Linked DNA regions of Drosophila melanogaster. The main gene of each other region encodes a partner of the protein of the gene in region 2 in a complex. Each region holds a gene or a part of one and is shown on either strand. Other genes may lie near its edges. The genes, in order: Sec13 and Nprl3.

Region 1 (15,486 bases), on a different chromosome or scaffold from region 2:
AGGCCACGAGCGGCCACCTTCTCGGCGTACAACTCAATGCGTCCGGTCTCGAAGTTGAAACGCTTCTGCACCATGGCGGTCAGCTCCCGAATGCGACGGCCCTTCTCGCCCAGCACCTGCTGGGTCTTGGTGGCCATGATGATGATCTCAGTGCGAGAGGGGGTCACACGGACCTCCACGCCGGAGTAGCCATCCTCGGCGAGTTCGCGAGTCAGGAACTCGTTCAATTCAGCCTTGAAGATGCCATCGGAAACGAACTGGGGAGCAAAAAGAAACCATTATAATCCGCATTCCACATCTATTGCACACCTAGCAATCCTCCTTCTTGTTGTTGTTGTTTCACCACGCGTTGTTGAGTTCCAAAGTTTTTGGGACGCCCATCTGCTTTGAGGTTAACTCCGAAGCCGATGGATTTTCGCGCTTTCCGGCCGGGTTTTTCACACAACTCCGATGAAACAACGAACGTACGGACACTGCATTACATGCCGGAGGTAATCCTGTCTCATTTTTCCCCAATTACCTTGCGTTTCTTGGAAATCGGAAGGTTCGCATTCATTTTGACGTCGAATCGGAAACGTGGTGCGCAGAAAAGAAAGAGGCCAGTGTGCCCGCGCGAGACACGTTAAAAAATACCACCCGGTCTGGAAATAAATACCACTATATACCAATTTGGTTTCCAAAAATTACAGTTATACACTACTGAATTAAACAATTTATTTTAATTACTTTTAATATTCATTAATTTAAAATGTTTTTTAGCTATTTGCTGTTTCTGCCTCGTTTTTACTTAAATTGATTCACAGTAGTACTAGGCAGACATGGTTCGGAAACTAGATTACAACAAGCTTGTACACAAACCTAAAGTGACATTCAAAAATTGTGTAAAAATTTTAGTTTTGGAATTTATCTGTATGGTTAAAAATAATAAGTTTGAATAAAATTTGGTTAATTATTTAAATCTTATTATACTATTATTTTTAAATACATACTACTTACAATTTGCAAATATATTTGATAAAACTTAAAAAAAATGATACCATTTCGACAAAAACTTGTCTTTAGAATTCATTATAATTTCAGAAGATTCAAATAGGGATCCCATATGAAGTCCAAATAAACATACACTAAACAGCGTTTAAAGGGGCACATTAAATAGTATTTCGTATATATATATTTGTAAAGTAACACTTTTAACCACGACTTCAGCACGACAATATTTCGGGGCTGGCTCAGTTGGAGAGCTGCGAGTTGGACAGGTTCGAGCTATGCTCCGAATCGGAGGAAGGACCTGGATGCGATGGCGCCTGTTGTTGGTGCTGTTGTAGCGCCTGCTGCTGCTGGGAGTGGGAATGCGGAAGGTGCGAGGGCTGCTTCGACTGGATGGCCGTACCCGACTCGTAGTTGATGCGGATCCATTGGCCCTCCGTGTTCTCCTTCCACAATGTGACATTGTTGTCCCCACCGGTGACGGCAAGAATGTTGCCGGTGGTTGACCACGAGATGCTCCACACGGCATCGTCGAATGTGTGCAGCACAGTCGAGGTCCACTCGGATAGATCTGCGTTGCTGCTCCACACAATCACATGGCGATCCTGCGAAGCCGTGGCAATCTGCGAGCGGGGCAATCCGATCGACGGCGCCCAGGCCACGTCGCGCACCCAATCCGAGTGCGCCTCCAGTCGGTGCTCCTCCACCCAGCGGTCGTTGTCCTCCCGCCAAATCTTCACTAAATTATCGCAACCACCGCTCACTAGGCGCTTTACGGCCGCCGAACGCGAAGTTACGCGCTGGTCAAATGCTGGATCTGGTGCCTGGGCGGGGCACCACGAGATGGCATTCACTCCGATCGTGTGCGCATTCGGTATCTTCTTGGCATCCCACACACCGTACTCCGTGTTGCAGGTGAGCACCGATACCGAGCCATCCGAACTGGCGCAGGCCAACACCAATCCGTACTCGGATGGCGCGAAGTCCACCGAGTTTACCGAGGAGTCGTGGTTGCTGTATTCGTAGCTGAAATGTGGCAAGCACAGAGGTTAGATGTGGCACTCTTTAAATGATAACGGAAATCTAAACATAAGTATGACATGGCGCATTGCTACCTCGTAATCTCGTCAATAAGAGAGTATTTTATTGTGTTATGACAGAGGGAACAATTTAAAGGACACCAACATATATATATATTTATATATATTTATTATAACAAGATCTGATTCTTCTTGTTAAATATTTTCAATACCATGATGTAAACAATTATAAATGATAAATTACATTTGATACAAGACGTCCAAGCATAAATATTAAAATAATGATTTCCAAAGCTATTAAAGTATTATTATTAATCAAGGATCAAGCTATTAAAGTATTATTATTAATCAAGGTCCTAACAATGGGTATCCCCTGGTCGATTCCTAAAACAAACATAACTTTGTTGGTATGGGTGTGCCCGTTTACTTACAGCTTAGTCCAATCCCGGGGCGTTGTGGACTTCCAGACGATCACCTTGCGGTCGTAGGAGCACGATGCCAGTATGTTGCCAAACTTGGGATGTGCCCAGGCCACCTGCCACACTGGTCCCTGGTGTCCCTTGAGCTCGGCGAGCGCCTTATTGTTTTTGCGCGAGTGAAAGATGCGGACGCTGCCGTCCGAGGAGCAGGTGGCCAACAGTAGGCCGTAGAAGTCCAGCGCTGCGTGGTGGACCATGTCCTCGTGCTCGGTGTCGATCTCTTGCAGCAGGCTCACCATCTTGCTCGAAATCCGTTCGTCCGGTCGCCAGATAAATTGATTAAATGCAAGTCGTGTTTTTTTCCGGCGCTTGACGTGGAACCTGGTTGAGCAGTGTGACCTGAGCGCGGCAGTGGCTGATGGTTACACTTGCAATTGATCACATGGTCACTCTAGTCCATAGATGAGATAGAATAATTTCAAAGTTTTTAGTTCATATTCATATTATTCATATTCATATTATAGTAAAACAAGAATTTATTAATTATATTCAATTTAGATCGGGTTTTGGCTTGTGTGGGATTTTAGATACAGTTTAGGTGGTGTTTTGGTATGAACGTTTATGGAGCAGTTTTGATTTAAGTTGGACATGTATAGTAAGATACATAAACAGACACAGTGTATAAATTAGCTTTTCATAATTTGTAATATTTTTATTATAGGCTGTATTTCGATAGAGGCAAGTAATTTAAACGGATTGTTGATTAAAATTCTTGTTCGCAACGAATATAATCTATATGATACAGCTGACAAATACAGGATAAAGCAAAAAATCAGCTTAGGAAATACCCTTACTATTTAAAAAGCTTACGTCCAATAGTATCGCATACACCCATCACGCGCACATCACTAACACCAACTGCCATTGTGAACTGACAATTGTAACTTTTCCGCACGAAAGTTAGCATTTGCAAAGGAAAATAAGGTGAAAACAAGATTTAAAATACATAAAAATTGATTGAGGGAATACAATTTGAATACAAGATAAAGTTGCTAGCAAAGTCGGCTTGAAAACCGATTGGGAAACGTCGAAACAAACAATTGTATTACATAACCTTTTTAAGGTTACATATGAAGAAGGCCGTTTATTGCTATTCTAACAAGGATCTATCAATTCCAGATGCTGTCGCAATCCCTGCTGAGTGGCATGCGTGTCCTGCGCACAGAGGCCCGTCGTAACTTCGGAATCGTTGCCCCTGCCCTGAACAAGGCCTCCGATCCCATCCAGCAGCTGTTCCTGGACAAAGTGCGCGAGTACAAGCAGAAGAGCGCGTAAGTTCTGGCTCCTTCATCCGTTGGTGTGCCTCGACATAATCCTTGTTTTGCTCACCTGCAGCGGTGGCAAGCTGGTGGACTCCAATCCCGATATTGAGCGGGAGCTGAAGACCGAACTGGACCGTGTGGCCAAGCAGTTTGGCAGCGATGGCAAGACCGACATGCTGAAGTTCCCCGAATTCCAGTTCCCCGATGTTAAGGTCGATCCCATCACCCAGGCCCCACAGTAGAGATCGCTCTTCGCGAATGAGTTAGTCTAATTGCTTTAAGTTCAGCTGCTGATTTCGCCTGTGCGCCCCCAAAAACCGCGGGCAAGTCAACAAAAAAAACCAATAAAATCGGGAAAACAACAAGCGATTCGTATGCGAAAGCCACTAAAAGTGTGTGAATCTCATTGAATTATAAAGCGCGTCCATTCCTTAACACAGACATTCGTCTTGTGCGACATCATAAACTCAAAACTCATTAAAATCGAATTAAATTCCATTATAAATACAATATATTTAAGCCCTACGATCTAGAAAACAACAACAAACTAGGTCCTAGCGTGGCGTGGTCAGCGCCTGATGAACAGTCTGCTGGAGCAACTGCATCTTGTGGTTGGCAGCCACCTTGTTGAATGTGCCCAGCAGTGTCTGGATGTCCTTCCCGCTGATGAGGGGCACAAAGTTGCCAGCGCAAGTGCAGAACTCTGCCAGATTCTCGCGCTTGATCTCGCTGCAGCGCGAACAGCGCAGATCCTGCAGCACATAGGACATCATCTTGCGCTGCAGTGCATCCAGCATTCTCATTTCGATCTCCTCGTTATCATAGGCCACATAGCACTGGGCACACAGCCAAACGGGTCTGAAAAATCCAACATTAATCAATTATTTGTGGTAAATTATGTGTACTGGTTTGTGTAACTCACACTCCATCTTTCATGGCGCGATGCTTGTCCTTGCAGAGATCCAGGTCCCTGCAGTGATTACACGCTTTGCAGATGACCTCGTTGATGATGTGACTGTCGCAGGGATCCTCCCACTCAGCCAAGTCGGAGAACTCACCAATCCCCACCAGACGCAGCATATTTCGGCGCAACTCGTTGATCTGCTCCGCCAGCGTTTTGTCCACACTCAACGCCTTGATCAGAGTGCGGATAAGTTCTAGGCCCGGGCTCGGCTTGCCCTTGCCGTAGTTCTTGTGCAGCTTCAGGATAAAGTCGAACGCACAGTGTGAGATGTCCTTGATGGCCTGCTCGGTGGTCTTCTTTTCAGCCAAAGATTGCATGAAGAGGGTCAGCAGGGATTCAAACTTTTCGCGGCACTCGTTTTCATCGGGCAGATGTTCGCCAATTGTCCAGTTGAGCTCCAGGGACAGCTCATCCTCTTGATCCTGCTCGGCCTCGTTGCTCTCCACTGGATCACGGTTTTCCGAATCCTCTTCTTCATCCTCGTCGTCATCTTGATTGCGTTCAGAATCCCGTATCATGGTAGTGGAAACTATTGACGACACTGTCTCATCGATTCCCTTTGGTAGCTTTCCCCTAATTCCCGAGAAATTTGCCTGGTCCATCCAGAGCATAAAGTTCCAGCATTGCTCGAAGCTCAGTTGGATGGAGTGGAACATCTCCTTGTTCCTCAAGCTTTGCACAATGTAGTCCACATAGCCCAGGGCATCGGAAACGGTTTTCTTACCCGAACTAAGGATAATCCTGTTAAAGTCCGCATAGATAATGGTGGCGCCCAATCTCTTGAACTCGGCTATAATGCGCAAGAACATCTTCCTCATCAGATTATTCAGAGATCTTCTCAAAGCAGGATCATAGAGTAGTGCATTACTGGAGCGCACCCATCGATAGAAGTGCACGATCTGGAAGTCCGAGAAGATGTTCCTATTGATGGATACCTCTCGCAACCAACCATTCACCATGGAGCGCATAACGCGGAAGGCGGCGGAACAGAGGGCCGTTTCATCATAACTCGGCAAGGTGGCCGCCGGAACAGTGCCAATCATCTCCTCCAGCGAGACCTGCGGCATCACATCGAACGTAATGGCAGATGAGGCGCCTTCCATTTCCTGAATCCTAGTCGATTGGAGCAGGGCACTCACCGCCAGGCTATCCAGAGCCAGCTCCACGCAAACATCCGGATAGAAACCGGCCTTGTTTTGCACCACACTAATGCTCTCCTCGAATTCCGCCAACAGCCGGCTGTCGTCCGCCTCCCGGCCACCCAAATCTGGTCTGGTACTCGCCGACCACCACAGCACAAAGTTATGCCGCTGCAGCAAGCGAGCGAAGAAAAGATCCGCTCCGAAAAGCACAGTATCCGGCGGCATATTGCCAATGGGCACATGGAAGTAGCGACACTGATCCAACATCAAATCAAGAACATTGTTCAGATTCAGAAAGTGGCGTATCACTGCCCTGGAGCCCTGTCGCTGCCAATCAAGGCCAGAAAGCAAACTAGCGTCATCGGAGATATGAATCTCAGCCTGGGGAAACTCCAGCAGGATCGGCATGGCCAGGCTGAGTTTACGCGCCGACAGCGCCGTTTGAAGGCACAGAATGGTGGGTCCCTGATGCTCCTGTTTGTAGGTGGTCAGTGCCCGCTGTATGTGCCGGTAAATTTGTTTGACATCCACCTCAATGAGAACCTCAAATGTGTAATCCTCTACAGGAATTTTATCTTGCTCCTCTGCCGTCAGATTCTTGAGCAGGGCCAAACGCTCGGCGGTATACAATTGCCTCATGTTCGGCATTTGATTGGCACGCACTGTGTCCAAGGCAAAAACAAATGCCTTCTTGCTGGGCATTAGGATCAGTGACCAGATCTCCTTCTTGGCCGTCGGTGTGTTATGCTGATACAAGTAGATTTTGCGCAATCGATTGTTGGCGCTAGCCAAATATTTGACCTGAGTCTGGGGCCGCTGCTCCAGCTGCTCGATGCTAAATGTTTCCAGATCCTTGGTGGCCAATTGGGCCAAGCGACGTGCCTCCTCGCGCTGGACACCGCAAATGCAGCCCATGTCCATGAGGGCGCGAAATTCCAACGTCATCTGCGTCTCGTATATGCCCTCAATGTCGGGCGTCGCCAGATCCGCCAGCATGCCCAGCGAGTTATCCCGGAAGAGCTGTTCGGGCACACTATATCGATAGAGATTGAAAACAGGTCTGGATCGTGGCAGAACTCGATTGACCTTGCGCCAAAGTTGACCCTCCTCTGGAGGAGCTGCACTTCGCTGATTTACATAGAAAATCCTCGGTACCGTCAACTTGATCTTGTGCAACTCTTCGCCGATTAAGGCCCACACAGTGAAGTGGCCCAGGTCGTCGACGGGCACCAACTGTACGATCTGCCACGGCTGGTCCAACAGGGTGCGTTGTGCACGTCTAAGGAATCCGCCCAGTGTAGCTGTGGATCCTGTTGCTCTGACCACCGGCGGATCCTCGCCTCGAGTTCGCTTGCTCGCCTGGCGATTACGCTGGCGCTGATCCTGCTGCCATTTCCATTTCTTCTTCTGAAATCTCACCCACTCAACGATGGTCTTTCTGGTTTCACCGATGGGCGGTGGAGCGCCCAAGGCCTGACGCCAAGTGGTGGCCTGCGGCTGTGCCTCCTCGTCATCGTGCTCCTCCAGCTGGATTCTCTTTCTCTTGGTGACTATCGGACAGCCTGCAGCACCCTCACCGCCATCTTTACCAGCCAAATCTTCCATATCGGCCAGCTTGTCCTCCTCTGTGGCTAGAGGTTTCGGTTTGGGTCTGCTGGTGAACATCTCATTGATGCGACGCTGCTTGAGCACATCGTTCTTCTCCAGCATTTTCTTGTGCAACCAATCCGGATGCTGAACTCTGGGCACTGGATTGGCCAGTCCCTGCAGTGCCGCCGGTATGGTTATGATCTTCTGAATGGTCCCACCCAATCTCTCTATGTAGTAGTTCCAATCGAGCACATCGCGTATATCCGCATCGCCCATGGTGTTGTCCTTAAGCCAGCGACGCAGGTGATGTCGCCTCACGCTCGGTTCGGATTGGAAAATGGCCAAGGGAATAGCTCTCTCGGTGACGGGTGCTCCTTCGGGTTTCTTCGAAATAATGTACTTACAAGCCAGACCCGCATCCTTTACCATCTGCTCGCCCAGGAACTCAGCCAATCGCTTGGCCGTGGAGATGGACGTACTCTTTTGGGCGCCATACTCCTCAAGCTTCTTGGACATGCTCTTGTTCTCCGAAATAAGTTCGAATAGCTCCGAGTCGGGTAGATTTGATCCTCTGCTGTAGAGTACATCAAGCCAGTAATCCGCCACCTTGGCCACAGATGCATAGCATTCCTCAAGTGTGCTACCAGCGAGGAAAGCTTCGAAGACGGAACTCTGGAAATTTTTGATCAGCTGCAGTTCACCGCGTCGCTTCACCTCGAATCCCTTGAGTTCAGCCAGTGTGCCATCGAAATTAAAGACCGCATATCTTTTCTTCAGCTTCTTGCCCTCCTCTTTGGCAGCGGGTAACACCATGGCAAGGTAGGGTCCATCCACCTCGAAGAATATAGAGTTCTCATCTCGAATATCGTATTTGGGTAGATTGTTTTCCTTATCCTTCCTCAACTCGTGGTACTGATCGTTGGTAAAATGATCTTTAACCATAGTGTTTAGCACTGCATTCGGATATGATATGTTAATCTTCTTTTTCTTCTCATGGCTCGTGTGAATGGTAAACTCCTGCGGAAAGGAGCCAGGCAATATGCACCATATACCATCAGTGTCCAATTCGAGTGGTCGACCAACTCGCTCGATAATTTCCCTCGCCTTGGTGATAATATTCGAGCCCGTGAGGCACACAATGCCGGCCATAGGCATGGAATGCCAACGGGCTCCTCTCCTCATCACGTAGCCATAGAAGGAGTTCAGGATGCACTTGTGGGCCAACTGCAGGGAATCGTAGAGCACCTCCCTGCCCTTGGCTGCCTTGATCTCTGCCGCGTCTCCCGAAGCCACCGCAGCATTCACCGATGCTTTTGCCACTTTGGTTAGTCCTTTGTACTCGTAGCGACGATCGCGAAAAGCTCGCACCGTGTCCACATAGAAGCTGTTCTCCTTCTGGCAGATGGTCGAAGTGCGCGTTTCCAATTTGGTTAGCTTGGTCTTCTTGTAAGCCTTGCGGCAGTAATCCGTCAGACGTTTCTTCTCGTACGCCGCCTGATCCTCCTTGGAGAGCTCGTGAAAGGCTCGCTGTGGTCCGCCAGGGAAAAGGGGTGGAAACTTCTCGGTCTCCAGCTGCTGCTGAATGCGCTGAAACTCGTTCCTGGAGGCGGGCAACATCTCGCCGCGCCACAACCAGTCCATGGAACGTTTGCACCGAACTCCTGGCTTGTTGAAGTCACAGGCGGCACAATCTAAGTCACTAACCATTGCCGAGGGCTGCAGGCGATTGGTCAAAATAATGTTGGGGTACATGGCACCCACATCCAAGTGATAGATGACCGGCTGCTCCAAGCGATTGGGTATATCGTGCAGACCCTGTAGCCCCTGCACAATCTCCTGCCGCACTTCATCCAGATTCAAGACCTTCTCGAGCGGTATGCCTTCCTCCACTTCGATAGCGTGGCGCAGAACTGCATCAACCTGCTCCTGCAGTTGCTTGACCATAGCAGGATCTAGACGAAAACGGCATGGTATGTCCGCCCGGAAAACACCCGATTCCAAAGCCTCCACATGACCACCCACATAGGTTTCCGAATCCAGTACGTGTCCCTCGTTGGAGAGCTTATTCAGCTCACTCTGATGCTTGTTGGGATACACAATCTGGGCATGGTAAGCCTCCACCATCAGCAACGTTTCACAGAGTGTGCCGGAACCCTTTCTTAGGATCTCATCGGGTTCCATGGGAATAATCGTATTTAGGGCGAAGATAAATGGATGCACATACTTCATGTACAGATAGTATGTGGCCACCGCATCGGATACAGAGTAATTGGCCAGCACTTGGGGCTGTTCCACGGCCATGCGGCACATATCCTCCGGATCGAGTTCCACAGGATCATAGCGTAATTTAGCCTTGGCCACCGCCTTTAAGCCTTGAGATCCAACAGGTAAATAAGAATCTCGTTTCACCCAACATAGGCAATCCATGTGTATGGCAGGGCGACTTAGATAATTGCCATCCCGTAGCTTGGAGAAGCCAATCTCTTGCTTCATGTCCAGATCGTACACTGCAGCACGCGTCTCCACGAAGGGCCAATCGAAGAAGTCGCCGTTGTATGTAACAATGATGTGGGGACGCACCTCCATGATGTGATCGAAGAAGCGCTGGAGCAGCTGCATCTCGTTCTCTTCGTTGAATACTATAAAGTTACCCTCGAATTCCGGCTTGGGAGTGTACTCAAAATCGTCCACATTGGATGATATAATCTCACGATTGGTTATCAGATAACCCTGACCATCGATCATGTACGAGATCATCATAACCTGATCCGTCTGGGCATCGGGAAACTTAAGGGGCAGCTTAGTGGTTTCTATATCAAAGGCCAGGACCACGGGCTCGGGTCTGTCCAGAATATCCGGTCGGCAGGTGATCGTAGGCAATTCCACGCCACTTCTGCACCTGATATTGTACCACTGTCCACAAAAGATGCGCAAATCGATGGACACTCTGACGTGGTAAGGCACATCATGCTCCCTTATGTCCACAATACAATCCATGTAATCCTGCTGCCTCTTACCCAATGTGGCATCCTCGGAACCTGCGGAGGATTGGGCCAGCGAGGTGGCCAGCATTTGCATGTAGTATGTGTTGGATTTCTGTCGCTCCTGATTTCTCTTCACCGCGGACATGAGTTCCCTTCTAACCTTGGTCATGGCTGTCTGATTGAGAAACGAAAGTTTTATGTACTGCTGCTGCAAACCGGATAGATGATTGGGCAGATCCAAATCTTCTTTGGTTATGTGCTCCAGTCCAGAAATCTGGCCGGAATACTTGCGACCCAGAAATCGCGCCACTTCCAGATGCATATTATCCTCTGGTCGGATGAGTAAATATGGCTGATAGGCCACCGTGCATTTGAAGCGGGAACCATCCATTTGGATGAAGAACAGGTCCAAGGCAGCAATCAATCTTCTGTCCTCATCCAAAACTTCGTTCTGCAATTGGCATAGCCATTATTGGACATGATTTTCAACGTTTTATGGGCTTCCTAACTTACCGAATGCATGTTGATGAGGTAGCCCGTCCGCTCCTGGCTGTCCTTAACCCGATCGAAGCCATATTTCGAGTCGATTTTATCGTTCTCCCGGGATTGACGATAGCCCGCCTCATTGAAGAAGTCGTCGCTGTGGATAAGATTGGAAAATATCTTGTTCAGCGTGAAATTCACGAACTTTGACCACTCACCCTTCTGTGCGATTCTCGCTGACGAATTTACCCGTATTTTGCAGCACTTTGCCTTTGCTGGAGTCGGACATTTCCGTGCTGTTTAGCAGAAATAAAATAAATAAATGTAAATAACTTGTTGCCGCCAAAAATCTGCAAACGTCTCAGAAATGTGCTAACGCGTTGCAGAGAATGCTGACATTTAGCTGTTGCACAGCACTGTAAAGTAACACGTTTGGCGCCAATTTCAAAATGTTACTACAAATAAAAGAAAACAAGAAAATTATTAAATGGTTTTAAGAATATAAGTTTTACCTAGAAATCCTCAATTATTCTTAGCTTTGTAGTTCCACCTAACACAAATTAAAAAAATAATGCTTAAAATCTGATGAAATCATAAAATATAATATTTATGTTTATTTCATCACAGCTTGACCATTTTAGCTATAATTTTCCTGTAATGGGCATTAAATGCCCTATTTGCTGACAATTTAAGGACAGCTGCTGGCCAATTGAGTTGGCCTGTTGGCCATGTGTTTTCCAACTGCTGAAATGTGAAGTTTTTTCTACTAGTTCTCCGCTGCAATGGCATCATGCAGTCACGCACACAGGCGCATTCATTCATAAAAATCCGGCTCACCTACACGAGTTGTAAGATTCCAGCGCAGTGGAGAGAGGGAGAGAGAGTGGGAGAGCGGCGCGCATGCGCTCTTTGAGTTCTTTTTTTTCGCTTGCTGCACTTGTCGCCCCCTTTTATGTTTTTCAGTTTTACCTCTGCGGCAGCAATTAAGTTGCAGCAGAGGTTGACAATCAGCCATATTTTTATTGCACGTGTTTCGTTATGCAAGGCTGGTTAAGTTTTTTTTTTTTATGTGTACATATACGCTCCCTTGGCCGGGAAAATCGGGAACGCCATCAAGTTTTGTTATCCCGAATCTTATTGCCCTTTTTCTGGGTGCAGCTGGCCATTTGACTGCCGCCCCTGCACTTGCATTCACTTATGCTGTGTAATTTGTAATTTATGCGAAATGCGTTGCCGGAATATAAAAACATTGCAGTCGTTTCAGTTCCATATCGCCGCTCTCTGTCGCACACACTCTCCGCACACATAAACCTGTTTGTGTTTTTGATTTGCGCGAAAGAGAGAGAGAGAGAGAGCCTTTCGAACGCACAGTGGTTGTCATGGTCACGGTGGGAAAATATCGCGCTTAACTTTTTTTGGGGTGTCCAAAAGTATTTTCCCAAGCTGCAGCTTTCCCACATTGTGTGCAAACTTTAATAATGATAATAATAAGTTGATAATTTAATCTCACATCAAAATTTTCATATAGGTATTATTTCATATTAAATAAATATTTTATTAATTATTATAACAAAGAAACTAGTATAATTTTCCTTTTAAATAAGCTGGAACTGATATTTTGACCAATTTACTTTATTTGTCAAAAATATAGATTTGTATAAAATCCAGAATCAAAATAAATAAATTTTTATATCAGTGTACACAATTGAAAGACTGAGACTGCCAAATTTTAAAATATTTGTCTTTATTATTCCGCCCCCTTTGCATACTAAATATTTTAAATATACTAGTGATTTTGGGCACTGTTTAAATGCTTGCCAAAAACGATCGCCCGCACACACACACACACACACATACACGCACCCACACACTCTCTCGCATATTCGCACTTACACTGAGTTCTGAGCAAGCAGATTTTTTTTATAAATTGTTGCTATTTTTTTGTCGCTGCAAACACTTTGTTTTTGCTGCTCGAAATATGTAATTCTGATTTCCATTTTTTTCTTGCGCTCATGATGCACGCTCTAGTGCGAGTGCGAAAGAGATAGCGAGATTGAGGATCACCCACGCCTTTTCGTTTTCATTCCAGCGATCAAGTAAAATAGCGAATAATGTTTATAAGTCAGATTGATATAACTCTCGATTTTCATATTATTTGCCATTTTTGTTATCACTTGCCAGAGCAACACAAAAAAATATTAATCTTAGCAGCGGAGAGAAAGAGAGAGAGAAACGGAGAGAGAAGGTGCGTCGGCGTTGGCGTCAACGCTGCGTCTGCGCCAACGTCGGCGTCGCTGCCGCCTGTTGCCAGTCGGTCAGTCTGTTTTTGTCTTTCTTTCGGGAAGCGTGCACTTGCGCTACGGTAAATTCGATTTGAATGAATTATACGAATCAAATAACAAATAAATAACAAATGCAAAACACTTTGCAAGCCAAGCAAAAACCCAGTGTGTAAGTGAATGAGTGCAATAGCAAAACATCTAAAGATCTGCGCGCGCAATATACATCAAAAAAAGGAAGGCAAACAGCAACAGAAAAAAAAACGCGGTTCAGAAACACAGGAAACCAATTTCTATATACGAAATTCATCATAAAACCACAAAAATCTCCTCAAACATCGCGTGAGAGTGCCTGAGTGTGAGTGTGCGCGCGCGTGTGTGTGTTTGCCAGCGATCCGTCGGCCTTTTTTCGGTTTGTTTCTTTTCGCGTCTTATAAGCCGAGCTAAACCGATCCCCGATTTCTTCTCGAGTTGTTCCTTTCGGTTTTTCGTTTGTCTTTGTGCCCGGCACGTAATCCCTCTCTCTCTCCCCCTAATCAACCTGCTGATCCCACCGGAGGGTTAAAACATACACATCTATACAGCGTGATAGAGAGAGAGAACGAGCAAGAGATAGTCATCGGTGCTGCGGAGTCCATCAAGATTGTGCGCCTAATTTGAAGCTGTAATTAATTTGGATACCCTAATAAAAAGCCAACCGAAAGACGGTCTTTAGAATCCAGAACCCACAAACCAAAAATCAAGAGCCCAGTAGCCCCCGCCTTCTTGTTCACGAAGGGGCGCTATTTTATTACCCCGCACCGGTAAGAAAAGTGAAGTGTTGAAAAACAGTAGTTCAAGTATTAGTTTTTGTTATTTTCCCTACACTCGAAACAAAAATCCAGCGAAAATTAAAAGACAAAACAATTGAAAACAAATAATAAACCATATATCTCTTAATTGCTGTTGATATATAGTTTTGAAATATAACTTTTAAATCATATTTATCTTAAAAATATGAAATTTAGAGAGTTTCTTTTGAGTGCATGTAAACCCTTTTTGTGTTGGTGTTGCCTGTTTTCTTGAATGAATCTAGGAGAAAACTGGTTTGGCTACCGCTCGGTAGATCCGCCGATCTCGCGATCTCGCCTCGATTCAGGATTGCTGCCTCTATAAACTCGTTGTTGGCCAGGCCAACAGAATTTGAATTGGTTTTCTACTCGGCATCATAGCCAAGCTAGTTAGCCGCCAGTGTGCGTGAGTGTGTGTGTGTGGGGCACTTCCACAACCCTTGTGGGAAACACGCTCGAAATTACTACTGTTCCTTTTACAGCTTCCGGTGCGGCAAATGAGCTTCGCCTGCCCCACGATCGCGTTTCGGGCCATCAATCCAAGGGGTTTGGTAATCGAGAATGTGTGAACGGTTTTTGGTTAGGGTCAAGAATCTAGCACAGCGATCGCATTAGACAATTAAGTATCAATAAAACTGATACCGGAGTGCTACTCTTTTGACCTTTCGGTTTTAAAGTATGTATAATTGGGGCTTTCCTGTTCTGCACTTTGGGTTACCTGAAAGGGTTTTTAAAAGGATCTTACAATTTGGGATGTAAATTAAAGTAATTATTAATACAAAAAAGATCAAAGGATAGTTAAAGGCTTAACCGATATCATATTTTATAAAAATGTTACCATTAAAATGATTAATTTTACAATAAGATTTTGCTTAGATCAATTGTTATTATTTCTATGATAAAACTTGATTTACGTCCTTATCGCAGTCTTAAAGCCAAAAAACGATAATTTAAGGAGTTACGATCATTGAACTACTCTAAAGACATGTTTAATATCCCTTGGGCTATTTAAAAAAAACCAATTTGCGAGCAAAATACACAAGGGAATGATAAGAAATTATTGCCATAATCGATAATTTGATGTGTGACGATCGTCGGATCATAATTGAGCCCAGCTACCGCCAACCGCTCCTCTCCCTTTCCCTCCTCGAGCGTCTGGTCCGAAATGAAAGACCAGTTCAAGATCCTTTTCCATAAATACCCACAGACAATTACAGTTCAGTGGATGTTCGACGGGCTGGTTCGTTGCCCCATGCCACGTTAAACTCGGATTCTGTGCCCGGACCGATGCTAAAAGTATCAACCTGCTGCAGACAGGCCGAGATCAAGATCGATCCCATGACAAGACAAGACGACACACTCGCACAGATATGCCACACACACAGATACTCCGCACACATAGATATTCCGCACACACATGCAGTTCGGACTGTTCTGCGACAGATA
Region 2 (15,684 bases):
AATCAGCGATAAATCAAAGTTTGATTTCATTTTCAGCAACGTTGCTACCTTTTTCGGACTGCTTTTCCTCCGCCGCCAATTACAGAAACATTTTGTTTTCGCCTATCGCGTTAAAACTTTCACATAATTCGCCTAACTTGGCGTTTAAAACATTTAACTTTGGCCAATTCGGCGCAGGCAAAACTTTTTGCCTCACTGGCACGCACACACAAGCACTTTTCGTTTAATTTTTAATGCACTTTTAATTGCGTTTTCTTGTACGGCGCACTTGTACGGTTTGCAGTTTGCATTAATCCACGTCTTACAACATTACCAGATATCTGTGTGTTGTCTAGTTCTTGCTGGTATAAAAAAACCATGCGATTTGGGAATCGAACTTGTGCGATTGGCGAACTTAACGGTACTGAGCCGAACCCACAGCTGTAACGGTAAAGAACGATGTGTGGGCGAGGACGACAACGACGACGATGCTGCTCCTTCGGTGGTAGCTTGACATCTGCTCGGGGTCCTTTCGGGATCCCGTGCTGTCCGACTATCGGTTCGGTTTGAGAGCGGGCGCAATGCAGCAAAACTTGGAGTAGGTTCAAGTTCCGAAGAGAGGGTGAGACTTTATATCGCTGAGACACAGAGAGAAGGGAAGAGAGAGCCGAGAGAGAGTCGTTGTGATGAGACAGATGAGTGACTATCTATACCTCCTGACTGTCAGCTGTTTAACGAATTTAAAAATAGAATTTTTCCAATCCCGATTTTGATCCCTAGACACGGTTTTATTTTTTTCTGACAAATTTTTCTATTTTAATCTTGAATATTAGATCATTCGCGGTTTTTTCGATTATTTTTTATTGAAAGCTTAGCCAGAAAGAAGTGCATCCAATATTTTAAATTAAAAAAAAAAACATTTAATCTCAGCACTTTGGTCACACTAGATGTATAAAATATCTGTATAATCATGTGCACCCTGTGCACGCAATAAAAATTGTAATTGCTATCGATATTTAAAATAATATTGCAAAATCAAACTAAACCTCTTAAGTTACAAAATCGAAGCACATGATATTTTATTAAAATAAAGAAGCAATTCTTCAGTAAGTGAACAGAAAAGATATTTCTTCTAATAAAGAAATTCTTAAATAAAAGAAAATGTTAACGGATTACATAGAATTGCGAATAATTTGTAGAATAAAATACTACCATGACAAAAAGCAAAGAACTTTGATAAGCTCTTATTACAAACTAGAAAGCTCTTCAACCGATTAATACCGATGTTTTTCACGGCGGCGTTATCTCCTCACCCATAGAAAGTTGTTGTTAAAGCAATCGGACTATTGAGCCGGCAGAACAGTTTAATTCTTCGAAAAGATAGGTAGTATACTAGAGTCGGGATCAATTAATATTCCAGACAATTCTCTGGTGAATTCTCAAGAATGCAAGTGTTTTTAGCTTTAGCCCTGCTCGCAGGCTTGGCTTTCTCAGGTGAGTTATAGACGTTAGAATGCTAAAGTGTTTAGCCAAACAAAGAGTAATTGTTTCTGCGTTTGTGTGCGCTTTAAACTAATGCACACATGCATATATTAAAACAATCGAGGTCATCGTTTTAGGATTGAAACTTTAGCTTATCATCATTTTTTTTGCCATGAAGTATATTTAAAAAGTAAAAAGAACATGTTTTTATTAAACTTTTAAATTAGATCAAATAAACGTAAAAGGGCATGTACTGCTATTTTGACCGCAGCTGTATATATACGAAGTATATAAGCAATGGCGTGAGCTTAAACCTCGATGGCTGCCCTTTACCGTTTCTTATTGTCAAGTTCCCGCTCATTTCTCATCTGAATCTCTCCACACTTTCGCCAACGACAATAGCTAATGCCACGAATCCGCCGAAATGGGATCCAAACTACATAGTCAAAGGAACCCTGTACATTCCGTACGCCGAGATTGCGGAACCCTTCTACGCCTGGTATGACAAGAATACGAGGCGATCCCGCATCGATTACTACGGCGGAATGGTGAAGACATACCAACTGGCTGGCGAGGGTCAGTACGGAACCCTGCTGAAGCTGGCACCGATTACCACCAAGACGGAGAACAACAAGCTAACCTGTCTGCAGGTGAATGGCACCGCCGACCAGGCTGTCGATATTCAGAGCATCCTGCCCGATGCGAAACCTTTCAGCCTGGTGGGCACCGAATCCTTTTTGGGCTACACGTGCGACAAGTTCCGCCTGGAGTCGACAATTGGCCAAAAGAAGAACATCTATACGCTGTGGGTGCGGTACAAGAAGTCGCCGCATTATCCCTCCAGCCGAATGCCCATTCCCGTGCGCTACGAGATGAGGGGCTATAACACCCTGCTGGGATCGCACTACGATCATTACTACTTGGACTATGACAGCTACGAGCACGATGATATTCCCAACGAGGTGTTCGAGATCGATGACAGCCTGCAGTGCGTCGGATTCCCCGGACCCGGCACCGGTCACTATGCCACCTTCAATCCCATGCAGGAGTTTATATCCGGAACCGATGAGCATGTGGACAAGGCCTTCCACCATTTCAAGCGCAAGCACGGAGTTGCTTATCACAGCGACACGGAACACGAGCATCGCAAGAACATCTTCCGTCAGAACCTGCGCTACATCCACTCAAAGAACAGGGCCAAACTCACCTACACGCTGGCCGTTAATCACTTGGCCGACAAGACCGAAGAGGAGTTGAAGGCACGACGAGGATACAAATCATCGGGCATTTACAACACCGGCAAACCGTTCCCCTATGATGTGCCCAAGTACAAGGACGAGATTCCCGACCAGTACGACTGGCGGCTATACGGCGCTGTCACTCCGGTGAAAGGTGGGTTCATTCATTCCCTAAGTACTTACTTAGATGAATTTGATAATATTGAATTGCTTAAAACGTAAACTACCCTTAGATCAATCTGTGTGCGGATCGTGCTGGTCATTTGGCACCATTGGTCACCTGGAGGGCGCCTTCTTCCTGAAGAATGGCGGCAATCTGGTCCGGCTTTCCCAGCAGGCGTTGATTGACTGCTCGTGGGCCTATGGCAACAATGGCTGCGATGGTGGCGAGGATTTCCGCGTGTACCAGTGGATGCTGCAGTCCGGCGGAGTGCCCACGGAGGAGGAGTACGGTCCCTATCTGGGCCAGGATGGCTACTGTCACGTCAACAACGTGACGCTGGTGGCACCTATTAAGGGATTCGTCAATGTGACCTCCAACGATCCAAATGCCTTCAAGCTGGCTCTGCTCAAGCACGGTCCTCTGTCGGTGGCCATTGATGCTTCTCCCAAGACATTTAGCTTCTACTCGCACGGAGTTTACTATGAGCCAACGTGCAAGAACGATGTAGATGGACTGGATCATGCTGTCTTGGCCGTGGGCTATGGCTCGATCAATGGAGAGGACTACTGGCTGGTGAAGAACTCGTGGTCCACCTACTGGGGCAACGATGGCTACATCCTGATGTCGGCCAAGAAGAACAATTGCGGTGTTATGACCATGCCCACTTATGTGGAGATGTAGATTGTCCCGCTCCCGCCTACATATTTCTTATTTTGTGTACTCTTTTTATTTTTACGCCCACAGGGCGCTAAATATGCAATACATTTCATAAACTCTTTTGTAATCCAAGTCTTTTGAATCTTATCACTGCTCCGCTTGGCTGGAAATGGAGCTAAGTTTAGCTTGGGTCATTATCTCCGCAGTCCATGGTGTTTCTTAAGTTAATTCCATGCCGATAAGCCGATAAGCCTAGAAGACAATGACCAGTTACCAGTTGAACTTTGCGCAAGTTGCAACAGTTTTATGCGAATCGGGGTCTTTGCCATTTGTAGTGGAAATCATTTCTACAGTAAAAACTCGCTACATTTTTAAAAATTTTAATCATTTAATTTCATCAATATTAAATTAAACATATAATTAGTTTTAAGAATCTTTACTTTGAATAATGATTCTAAAAATAAGTATACCTTCTTATTTAAAAAACTTGCAAGCAAAGCATTGAATTTTTACATTAAACCCGTTTTACAGTTTTTCAATTAAAATAAATTAAAAATATAACATGAAGAATACTTTCAACTGATTCTACAATTTTCACTGCTACTACATTTCATTTTAGATTAATTGTTCATTTTAAATAATATATTTATAAGTTAATTTGATATAACAACAAATAAGTCTAAATTTAAATACATATTTATTGGCATAGATGTTGCATCCCTGGAATTGCGCCAATTGGTATTTTTCTGTTTTGGCTTGATGGTCATCCGATACAGTTTAGTTATTCTTTTTGAATTGTATTTGCTTGGAATCGAAGGAAGCAACGAAGCCATGGATGAATTGGTGAAGATGTGCCGGGTGTGTATGGACGAGCCGAAGGACCTGCTAGACATCTACGACAACAAGAGCTTGGGGGACAGACTGAGCGACGATCTACAGCGAACCAAGGAACCGGAGCCCACGCCGGCTGATTTGCTGAATATCTGCAGCGCATATCCAGTGGATACCGGGGACGGCTTTCCGCTGAAAATTTGCGAACCGTGCCTTATTAAATTGCGTGAGGCCTTGAGATTCAGGAGACGCTACACAAGGACCATGGAATACGTGGCGCGCGTGAAGAGGGAGCAAAGCGACAAGGAGACATGCGATCTCCTGGAGGCCGAGGATTGGGATTTTACGGATCGCATCAAGAGCGAGGAGGAGGAGGAGGAGGACGATGGGGACCGGAACGATAAGCAGCCGAAGAAGGAGACTCGCAACGAGGTGGATAAGAGGCGGCCCTTCAAATGCACCGACTGCCAAAAAAGTTTCACCGGCAAGGCCCAGTTGACCATGCACAGGCGCACCCACACCAAAGGATCCACAAGGACCAGACGAAAAGCTCTTAAATAGTCCTTGGCAACGCTTGGCAAAATGTAGCCAACTAAAATAGTAATTAATCATCTTGTATCATCGTTTTAAAAATAAGTTCGATATATTTTTAAAGTAGAAACAAGTTAGCGACTAATAATGAAAGTACATATGGAGTGTAGTTTTAAAAACAATTTCATGTTCTCATATTGACAATAAGATAATAAAGAAATGATAATCGGATCGATTCACAACAGTTTTTAAGCAGCTTTCTCACTTTGGTTGCGATTACTAGCTTTGTCGATTTCAAACAAGAAATTATTATATGGACATTCAATATATGAAAATACCTTTAACAAATCTTAACTATTTAAACTTATTTCTTTTTGTTTCTTGGCTGCTCGTCCGTCGCTTCCCTCGCGTGTGTGCTGACATGTGTTTTTGTAGGCCGTTTAGTTGCTTGAAGCTTTGCTGACATTTGGAACATTTGAACGGCTGTTCGCCAGTATGAGTCCGGGTGTGGACTTGCAGTTGCCCAACTTGCCGGAAGCGCTTGGGGCAGTTCGGACAACCGAAGGGACGCTCGCCGGTGTGACAACGTGTGTGGCTCTGCAGGTTGCCCTTCTGGGCAAAGGATCGCGGACATAGGGAGCACTTGTAGGGTCGCTCGCCAGTATGTATGCGCATGTGAATCTCTAGGTTTTGTTTTTGGGTGAACGACTGTGTGCAGAGCTTGCACCGATATGGTCCGGGAACCCTTTTCGGTTTGCCCCGTTTTGAGGCGTTCCAGATTTTATCATCATCTTCGTGTTCAAGCTCACTATCCGGGCTCCATGAGTCATTGTCCGAGTAGGATCTCGCCCTCCTCTTGGACTTATTGTGTGGCGTCTTTGCTGGAGAATAACTTTGCGCGAGCTTATGCTCATTGTTGTCTGGAAGAGGAGAAGATATTGGCTTCGGCTCTGGAGGCATGTACTTAACCTGCACAAGCTCAACTAAAAGAGGTTCGGATGTCTCCGGCGTTTTACCAGCTTCCATTACCGAGACCGGCATCTGTGGTTCTATGTTATCCCCTATATTCAGGCAATACTCTATATCGTCCAGCTCCTTCATCATCAGACGCAGCTGTTCAAAGTACTGATGGCTCTTTCGGCATTGCCGTCTTAGCCGATAGGCATTTCTTACGGCCTCCGCACACTCCACGCAGATGAACTGCGGCATTCCGTCCTCCTTATGCACGCTGCATCCGCTGCATTCCCTCAGCATTGTGGCCAAGACCGGCTCCTGCTCCTGGACCCGATTGGAGGAGGCATATGGCTCTGTATATATATCCAACAGGCAGTCGGATTCGTCCCTGCAAACGCGGCACATTTGCGAAATGTCCATCGTGGCCGAGCTCCAGAGTTTCGTAGGCAGGATCAAAAATATACAATATCAACAAAATGCAACTATTAAAATACCAATCACTGGAATATACCAACAAAAAAATACCGAATAATCAGCTGTGCTTCGCATCTTATTAATTTATCAGCTTTGATTTATGATTTAAAGTTGTTTTTTTAAGTTAAAAATGGGTTTTTCGTATTTTTTAAATATTTTATTTTAATCTGGCTCTTAGAGCATCAGAATATTCCCCACTTATCGATATACCTTAAAGCTGTACAATGGGCGCGAAGCTTAAAATGTAACGCTGTTTTGAATATGAGTAATTTTTTGAATTTGTATGAAATCACGGAAAAACATAGTTTGACAATAATTGAATTGAACTTAAGAACTTGCTTGTACAAATAAATAACAAAATATGTAGTCTACAAGCGTAAATTGATTTGCTTCGCAAACTTTACAAAATTAGATGCATACCTATTTTATAGATTATATTCAAAAACTAAACAAAAACATTCAACATTAAAATCTAGGAATGCAAATTCGTCCCAAACTCTACTTGGTATTGTACATGGATGCAATTGCAGGATCTTCGGTTTCGTAAATGATAAGCACATCCCTGAATTTATCAAGCAATTGCAGCAGTTGCGAACGTCGCAGGTTCTCGAAGTACATGATCTCCTCCAGATGATGCTCGCTCTTAAAGTAACCCATCTGATACAGCTTCACAAGCAGAGATAGATCATCCACGTTGGCAGAGGCGGGAATTCGACGGATGGCGGCTCGATCCGCATCGCTGAAAACCTGTAGCAGCTCCTTCAGCTTCTGCTCATCCTCCATGGAATCGAGGCTGTCGCAATTGTCCGTGCTCATCGAGGCGGTGATGCTGAAATTGGACTTGTGGCTGGATGATGGCTGCACGGCGATGTTGTCCGAGGCCAGTGATGAATGGTCCTCGGACGCCTCACGACGATGTCCGCCCACCAATACCGCTGGCACTGGCAACGGATGACTGGACATGCTAAGCATGGAGCCATGCAACTCGTCCGCATCTGGTTCTTGGTCTCCTTCTTCATCGCTAATGGCATCCCTTAGATGGTTGCTGCAGGAGGCCGAATCTCCGAATTCATCCTCGCTGGGCATAAACTGAACGTACGTGTGCAACTGCATGAGCAAATGGTGCTGCAGCATCCAAATCACCATTTGTGCGAGGATACCCTGTCGCGCTGGCTGCTGCAGTGGCGTGGTTAAGTGTCCAATTGAAGTGGGCAATGAAAAATCGGAGATCACCTCGAACAGCGACATACCGGCAAAACGGGCCGAGAACTTCTCCACCAGGTGGGACTTGGTGTGCAATGGTGCATCCGGCGCGATCACATAGACATTTGTCTCGCAGAGTGGATAAATAATAGTTGCCTTAGCCCAGTAGACCAAATGCGAGACGAGCTTATAAACATGCTCGATACTCAAGTCTGCATTGGAGGACATGCTCTGCAGACTGATCAGTGGGTCGTAGACGTCGACTAGCTGCCATAGCATGCGTGCCCCAGTCGGTGGAACGCAGTCCAACAATTCGGCAAAGTCGACCAGCAGCAACATGCCATGATAGGGCTTCAGTGCACGAAGGCACCGATCTATGGTCTCTGGATCCACCATGCTGCCCTTCTTATGGAGCTGGTGTGCCTTAGCGGGCAGACAGAAGCACAACGTTAGGTTGTGATTCAGCGAGGTACTCAGCAGTCCAGTGGTGCATAGATCATGGAAGATGGAGCGCAAGGCCTGTGCCAAGCTGCAGCGCTCTGCAATCAGCTCCAGTGTGCGTTCCAGCGGCTGTTGCTGCTGCTCGTCGTGTGTGCGAGCCATTTGAGCCGTCTGCTCGGTGAGATAGCCACTGCGCTGCTCCTCGAACTTCAGCGCCAGTCCAAGGCGCTTGCTCAGTTCGTGGTAGCACTTAACAATCGAGTAGCTGGCCTGTGCATGCAGCGCAAAAACAATGTTGATGAGCATCTGTTGCTTGGCCATTGGACCACTTCTCTGCTCCTTTTGCGGTATCAGAGTGGGATGACTGACAAAGCGTACGTCGTTCAGTTTGAGTTCAAACTTTTGGTTGCATAGCTGTGGTTTAACAGCAAACAGAGCGGACAGGACCTCATCTGCGAATCCCTGCAGTTGTCCTTGGCTCTTGGCAGCACCCAAGTGGGTGGGTGTCTGCAGCAGATCGTCCGTATTGGCCACGGCATAGGGATTGCGCTTTCTGTGATTGAATAAATCGGTATAGTCAAGCTGAGTGCCCTTTGAATTAATAGGTAGTACCTGGACTTCCGCTGCTCGTCGTTGGCCACCTCCGTTTGGCCGAGAGTCTGGTACGGATACCTGTACAGTAACCGATCCCCCTTGCTATCGAAGTAAACCAGGATTACGGCCAGGGGATTCACATTAGTTTCCATGGCACACAGACACTTCCCCTTTTATGTAAATTAAAATATGAACATTTGCATTATCAACTGGGGTCAGGGTCAACAAATAGTTGGCTATGTTTTCAAAAATACTTTATAAATCGTAGTTTGCTACAGAAACTACCTCAACAACTCTTTATTTATTTATTAGTACCTCAATTTGACTTCATTGAGAAATGGAAGCAAAGTAAATAAATGTAAAATATAAAATATATTTACAGCAGTGTGGCTCTCTTTTAGTTTGCATAAAATACCAAAAACTTATTTAAAATAGTAGTCATGTCAGTTTTCATTTTGCAGGCGAAACAATAATATAAATGCAACGCAATGGAATTTTTTTAAATCGTTTAAATTTACCATAGATACCTTAGATAATATATTCAAAAACTAAAAAATACTAAACGAAAAACGGTCTTACTATATAAATAAATATATATCGGCAAGGCTAATAGTATAGGATCCCTGGTCGAGCGATAACGATCTATCGCTCCGCTGTAGTGTGACCGTCTTCGGTTGGTCAGTCTCTAATTTTTTAGAAGCGGAAAGTTGTGAGCAAAACGTGTGGAAATTGTGCTCGAAACGTCAACAAAAAATTTGTGAAAATAACTGGGAGCGTAGTATGCGAACGCGGCAATCGCAGAACTATGAAATTCCCCTGTGAAACATGTTAGTTTGGCTGTAAAAGCACTTTTAAAAATGACGATTTCTTATTAGCGTGTTGGAAAAGAGGAAAACACACACATTGTGAGAGGCAAAATACGTGCGGATCGTAGGTGGGAGCGAGACGACGCTAAACGTGTACTAGCCGCGGTCTATATATACATATATATAATATTTGTGTGAGTGTAGGAGAGGTATAACTAATTCTACAAAAAAATATAGTTTACTTGGCTGAGTGGTTCGCTTCTGAATTAGTTTCGCACTCTTCGGCAGTATGGTGGCCAATAAGTTAATTTCAACTAATTGTCATTTACTTGTAGGTTTGTTTTTCTACTATGTCTTCGTTTCTGTATCTATTCCTTGTATTTTGGAAAATAGGATTAATAAGTGCCTAAAATGTAAATAGCTTGTGGTTAAATAGTTAATAACATAACTATTTTACTTTTTGTGTATATGTGCGCCAACATCCGTGTGTATAGATTTTACACATACCTACGTAGAAAGGCATGCACAGATATACGTTTGTGTGGGTATCAACGAATAGGCGGAAAGGCGAAATCGAAATATGTACGTACAGCATTTCGGAATGGCCAGGCGCAGTAGTAATAGGCTAAACAGGGAAACAGCGCAACACAAAAACCAAGAAGAAGAAGCAGGGCAGGCGAACAAAATAAAATAGGCGATAATAGTCAGTTGGCATGTCTTGTCCATAGGCTAGAACGGTCACACTAGCTATATGGTCTGCTCAAACCGACTGGTCGTCTCGCTCTTACACACGTCTTAAGCAATCCCAGTTTATGTGTTTTCCTGCGCGTTTTGTCTTCTGCTTCTTGTGCCATACGGTATTAATAATAATAAAATTGATTAATCAAAGTAGAAACATTTTAATTTGTGCAGGTAGTAAACGTTCGAAACAACGTCGCGCCATCACTTAAATGCTGCAAATCAACAATGTGCAACGGAACAAAAAAGAACCAGTGTTAAAGTGTATACAAATTTAATTTGTATTTATAAAATTGAAATATAAAGTTTCGAAATAAAAAATAAACCACGTAGCTTGTCGTTAAATTAAATTAAGTTGTGCAAAATGAAGTGAAAATTCAAAATAACAGAGTAAACGGTGAGTAAAACTAGTGTGTGTGTTTGTATGTGAGTGCGCGCCCAAATCGGAAATATTTTGAATCGAAAAATATACAGTCGAATGGGTTATACATATCTATTGGATCACATATATATGAAATTCAGATTTTATTTTGAGTCGAGCCAGTTAAATAAATATTTCATTTGTTGATGCGTCGATTTTGTATGGTTTTTTTTTTTGCATACTGTGTGTCGCCATATTTGATTGCATATTCTTTTTTCAACTAACCGTCAGTATAGCGTGCTCGCTCGCACAGCTTTGCGGGTTCATTTGTTTTGCTTTCGATTCCGTTTTGTGCAACGTGAAGGTAGATGTGCGTATTATGCCCCTCGCACAGAGTTGCCAACCCGAAGCAATTGTTTTGTTAAATTTCAAGTTGTTTTTAGTTTGTTTTGCTCGAGTTTCTAAGGAGATTATCTAAATCAGTATTAAAATCATATTTCGATTTGGCACACCCCTCCGCATTTGGATTGCAATGTGTATGCCGTGCAGTGTTTTTGTTGTCTCTACCAAAATTTTGACATGCGCATCAGCTAGTCGGAAAAACTTAACAACAAATCGACCGCAAAGTGAAATTAAAGTTGATGAGAATTAGTTGAACGATATCGACGACGCCATGTTGTTCCCATTATCCAGAATGTTAGCACAGAGCTATATAGTTTTTATTTTATTTTCTTTCGCCCTGTTTTCGTCAAACTTTTTATTGCGTGCTCCAGCGTTTACACGCCTGTACGCCGTGAAGTTGGCCGCAGTTAACATAGCTAAGTGTTAGTGTGTGTGTGGGGAGAGCTATGGTGGTCTCGCTCTCGCTTACAGGCATTGCTCGAATGTTCCTGTTCTGCTCTTTGCGCATACGTGATTTTTGCAATTGTTATTTATGCCTTGTGCTTTGTACGCGCGAATTTTCGCCACAAAATGAAAGCAAAAGTTGATAGACAACTTTTTGCCTGCGCTCGGCTTTCGTTATTTTCTGCGCAGCGCAGACAAGACCATCGTCAAAATATTATTTCGCGAAAGCTAAGCCATTCGATAATTTCAAAGGTTGTCGCGGAACGAAACCAAACCGCCACAACCCCCTAAAACCACCTCCCAACCCCACAGATTTTTTTAATGGTGTAATATCCATAATAAAATCCCATGCAGTCTCAATTCTTGATTAGTAATTGACCGAATTAGACGGACCAGAACTAGCGAGCAAGTGAATTAAAATAAGACGCAATTAAAGTTGACACTTTGTAGCTGGTATGCAAAAACTAAAACCCATTTTACGCTTGGCGACTGTTTCAATGAAAGTACAGCCAAAGCAATGCCCCTGATATTGTGCAGTCACGTAGTCCATTGGTCAACAAGCTAATATGAGCAGCATTACTATTTTTAATTGTAGGTTCATTTTTATTCCGTAGATCACAATAGGAGTCTTTCTCTTTTCGACTCACTCGTTTAGATGTGTGCGTCTGCGAGCCTCGATAAGCTTTGTATTTGTTCTACTTCATCTAGCGATGCAACAAAAGCCATAGCAACAAAAAGAAATCCCCAACAAAAACGACACGAAAGCAGTGGCGGATTAAAAATCCTGCTTGCGGGGAAGCTCTCGGAATTTAAAGAAAACAGCAAACAAAACTTAATTCTTTCGATAATATTTTGTTGATATAATGAATTAGATTTTGGCGCATATGTATATCCCAAATGAACCCCCTTGGAACCGCCCCTGTACGAAAGCACCGTGGCCACTTTTCATGTGTTTGTGTGCTCGCGATAAGTTTCAACGTGCATTTGCAGGCACGATTTACGGGGATCTGCTGCTGTCTTGCTCACACCCACGAACCGATAATGCGCGCGAATGGGGCTTATTGTGTGAGCTTGTGTGTAATTTGTTTATGGCGCGCATTTTACTTGCGGATGTTGTTGTTGTTGTTGTTGTAGTATTTGTTGGGGTTGGGGTAGGGTTGGTCCCGCACACGTGCGTGTGTGTGAGTGTAGTTCACCTTCTTTCCGACGATGAGCGAACCAAATTCTCCTTCGCCCCTCGCTCTTTCGTGTGTATTTTTAACTAAGAGCATTGTAAGATTCTTTCTAAATGTTGAGATGTAGCGTCGATGCTAGTGTGTGTATTTGTAACCCAAATCAAAATTTACGACAGCCCCAACCGCTCTATGTGTGGCGTTATCTTTTGTGGCCCATTGAGAAATATGAAACAAAACATGTAACGGAAATGAGAAATGCATACCACAGTCACTATCAAAGAGTTCTAAGCTCAACATCCTGGCTTATCAAAACGCAGCTTGAAGTTGAAAAATCAGTTTTATCGATTAACCTGGTGGTGGCCTTTACATATGTAGTTGCATCTTGTATCCCACAATCTATAGGCAGTAACCCAATGGTTACATAAGCATTTCGTTCCCAGATTTACTATTCAATTGGGGAATCAATTGCGCTGCTCCCCATTCTCTATTCCAATTAGAAACTGTATCTACAATAGGCGCAAATTGGCTGCCAGCACAATCGCACAAGCAGTCGCACACACACGCAGGTGGGATATGGCAGATATGCCCAAGTGCAAGTGGCCTGTGTAATGTGTAATAGATACAAGAAACTAAAAAGCCAGCGACAAAAGCAACGACAACAGAAAAACAAGAAGAAGAAAACTACTAGCGATGAATGCCGCGCCGGATGCCAAGGCGAAATTAGTGCATTCACTTTTCGCTCCGCTTTGCTTTTTTGCTTTGGCTCTCTGCTTTGCAATGCGAATGACGGGGCAAACGCCCGGAATGTGCAGTAAATTAGAGAATTAGAGAACAGTGGCAGTACTTGGCAAATGTCGACATCTTTCAGAGACGGTCGTTTTTTGAGGTGTAAGCGTTTAAAAACGTTTAGTAAATTGATTCCAATGATAGAAAATGAAAGGTCTTTAAATTATTAAAAAATCATTTATTAGTGACCCAATAGTAGATTCCATAGTATAAGAACATGTAATATCTTAACCTTTACAAAGCTTATCAAGTTAGCAAACTTGTAAAATAGTCGAATGTTTATTAATTGATTTGGGACGCATATTGCGTTGGAAAATTGCATTAGCCTTTCAGCGATGCGGATAAACAAAAGCAAAATAGGAAAACTTGTTTCCACAAAAGCCAAATGAACAAGTGCTAAACGTTGTTAGTGCTTTTTTTTATTGGCCAGGGGGGTCACACTACACCTACACACATCCACGTATTCAGGCACACGCACACAAGTGTAAACAATGCACAATCCCTTTGTTGCTTTAGCTTTGGCGCACCTTTCACACTGTTTCTGCTTTGCTGTTTCGCTGCTTTTCCACTTTTCCGCTCCGTGATGCTGCGTTCAAGTTTACAGCAAGTGCAGCAGCCACCACGAAGCACATTCCGAAAGCGTAGACGAAAATACATACGTAGAATAAACGCGGATATTGATGTTTGAAGTGCGCATGCGTATTTTTGGCGCCCGTTGGCAGTGCTGTGCTTTTTATTTTGTTACATAACTCAAATCTGATTTGCAGTTGGCAATGCTACTCCTGGATAATAGAGATGAGCTCCTTAACTTTTATCGATAAAGGCAATGTACCCGTGGTACACTAGAAAATAAAATCTGAACTTTACATCCGAAGATATGCATCCTTGTTTTAATTTTTTGCTTTAATTATTTTCTAACATTATTTTACATTTGTTTGTTTACCACGTTTTTGTTTAAAACAGCTAAGAATTAATTTTTAAATTGGTACTTTTTATTGTTAATAGTTCTGTATGGCCTATATTTAATAGTTATATTTTTACTCATTGCAGATACAACGAAATATCGTTTATGGAAAGACCGTATCCAAAGAATTCAATATCCAACATACAACGACGGACAACAACGCAATATCAATTGGGCGGGACTATTAGTTTTGCGAGATTGGATCAGCTTTAGGATAAGGCTCCGTATACAGGGAGTCAAACAAAGGACGCAAAAGCGAAGAAGCCGGGGAGCACGCAGTGGAAGTTGCCGAATCTCTCCCAGCGTTATGATTGTGATGGCTGACAATGTGATGTGGCACAGAGTTGGACACCGTCTATGCAAATCGAGCGCGCACCACCGCCTACGCCTACAGTTGTCACCACTGGGAGTTTCAGCTTCCGTCATCCGTGCCAGAGCCAGAGGTTATGCATTGAGCCCCCAATGTTTTGGGGGCACGTCAACAAAGGCCCAGCGACAGCAGGAGCAGAATCTGCATCAGCAGAACCGGCAGCAACATGACGGCTTTATCTGTGAAGTAGTGTTGTGAAATAGAAACTAAATCGAGACCGAAACCATACTCTATCAAAAGAGTGAACTCTCAAGCCGAGCCAAGGCTCCTTCCCTGTAAACACACGTCTAATTTTAGTTAGCGGACCAAACTGCCGCAGCACCACCACCATGCCCATGTCCAGTCACGACTCGGTTTTCGTGGAGCCTGCTGTCAGTAGCAGTGGCGGCGGCAGCACCAGCAGCATAAATCGCATCGGAGTAGCCAGTGGGCCACAGCCGCCACCCCCTCATATCGTCATCGATGGCAGCAGCTTGTCCACACAGGCACAACTGCGCATCATGCAACGTCGCATGTCGATAAGTACGCGCCAGATCCTTAGCGCCAGCCAGTCTCAGTCGATCAATCAGTCGCAAAAGTACGCGGTGCGTACAGCAGCCGGAACCGGAGCTTTAGCTGCGGGGGCAGCCTCTTCGGGGAGCTCCGGTCAGGAGCTAATTAATCCCCAGATCTACAAGATTGTGACCACGGACGGTAGCACCAGCAACGTCATCATTGACGCATCAGCTGCGGCACCACCGCACAACTCCAAACTGTTGCTTAGTAATCTCACTGTGCTCTCCAAACAGGCACCAGTCCAAGGAGCAGCCGGTCAGCAGCAGCAGCAGCTCAACTATCTGGGAGCCAAGAGTCTGCCGTATGTGAGTGCGTCGCCGGCTAAGACGCAGCAGCAGCCCCAGAAGTTTGGCAGCATCAGCGCATTTAAGGCGCAACATCAGCAGCAGCAACAACATCCTCATGCTACCCTACAGAAAGTGACTTTGGGCTCCAGAGTGGCAACCCGTCTCCAGTCGTACGTCCCGGCATCACCGTCGCAGATAATGGTGCAGCCGGCGCAACCAAAGTATGTGAATGCCACGGCGACAACGATA

The links.
Region 1: Nprl3 (region 2) and Sec13 share a complex: the UniProt entries of both Drosophila melanogaster proteins name them as parts of the GATOR complex.

Annotation. Positions count from the first base shown.
Region 1 is NT_033777.3:23,343,925-23,359,410, reverse strand, and holds Sec13 (secretory 13), read right to left. Parts: upstream 3,134-15,486; 5' UTR 2,746-3,133; coding exon 2,459-2,745; intron 2,014-2,458; coding exon 1,230-2,013; 3' UTR 880-1,229; downstream 1-879. Other genes in the region: RpS3 (ribosomal protein S3), read right to left, coding at 1-257, 521-556; ATPsynCF6 (ATP synthase, coupling factor 6), read left to right, coding at 3,626-3,777, 3,842-4,010; PolE1 (DNA polymerase epsilon subunit 1), read right to left, coding at 4,323-4,626, 4,691-10,899, 10,962-11,088, 11,150-11,220. UniProt on the Drosophila melanogaster protein: Functions as a component of the nuclear pore complex (NPC) and the COPII coat. At the endoplasmic reticulum, SEC13 is involved in the biogenesis of COPII-coated vesicles.
Region 2 is NT_037436.4:13,992,928-14,008,611, forward strand, and holds Nprl3 (nitrogen permease regulator-like 3), read right to left. Parts: upstream 8,954-15,684; 5' UTR 8,863-8,953; exon of another isoform or gene 8,718-8,862; 5' UTR 8,700-8,717; coding exon 8,566-8,699; intron 8,507-8,565; coding exon 6,808-8,506; 3' UTR 6,453-6,807; downstream 1-6,452. Other genes in the region: CtsK1 (cathepsin K1), read left to right, coding at 1,425-1,473, 1,864-2,853, 2,933-3,543; CG17361 (uncharacterized protein), read left to right, coding at 4,279-4,911; CG17359 (uncharacterized protein), read right to left, coding at 5,236-6,255; upSET, read left to right, coding at 14,923-15,684. UniProt on the Drosophila melanogaster protein: An essential component of the GATOR subcomplex GATOR1 which functions as an inhibitor of the amino acid-sensing branch of the TORC1 signaling pathway.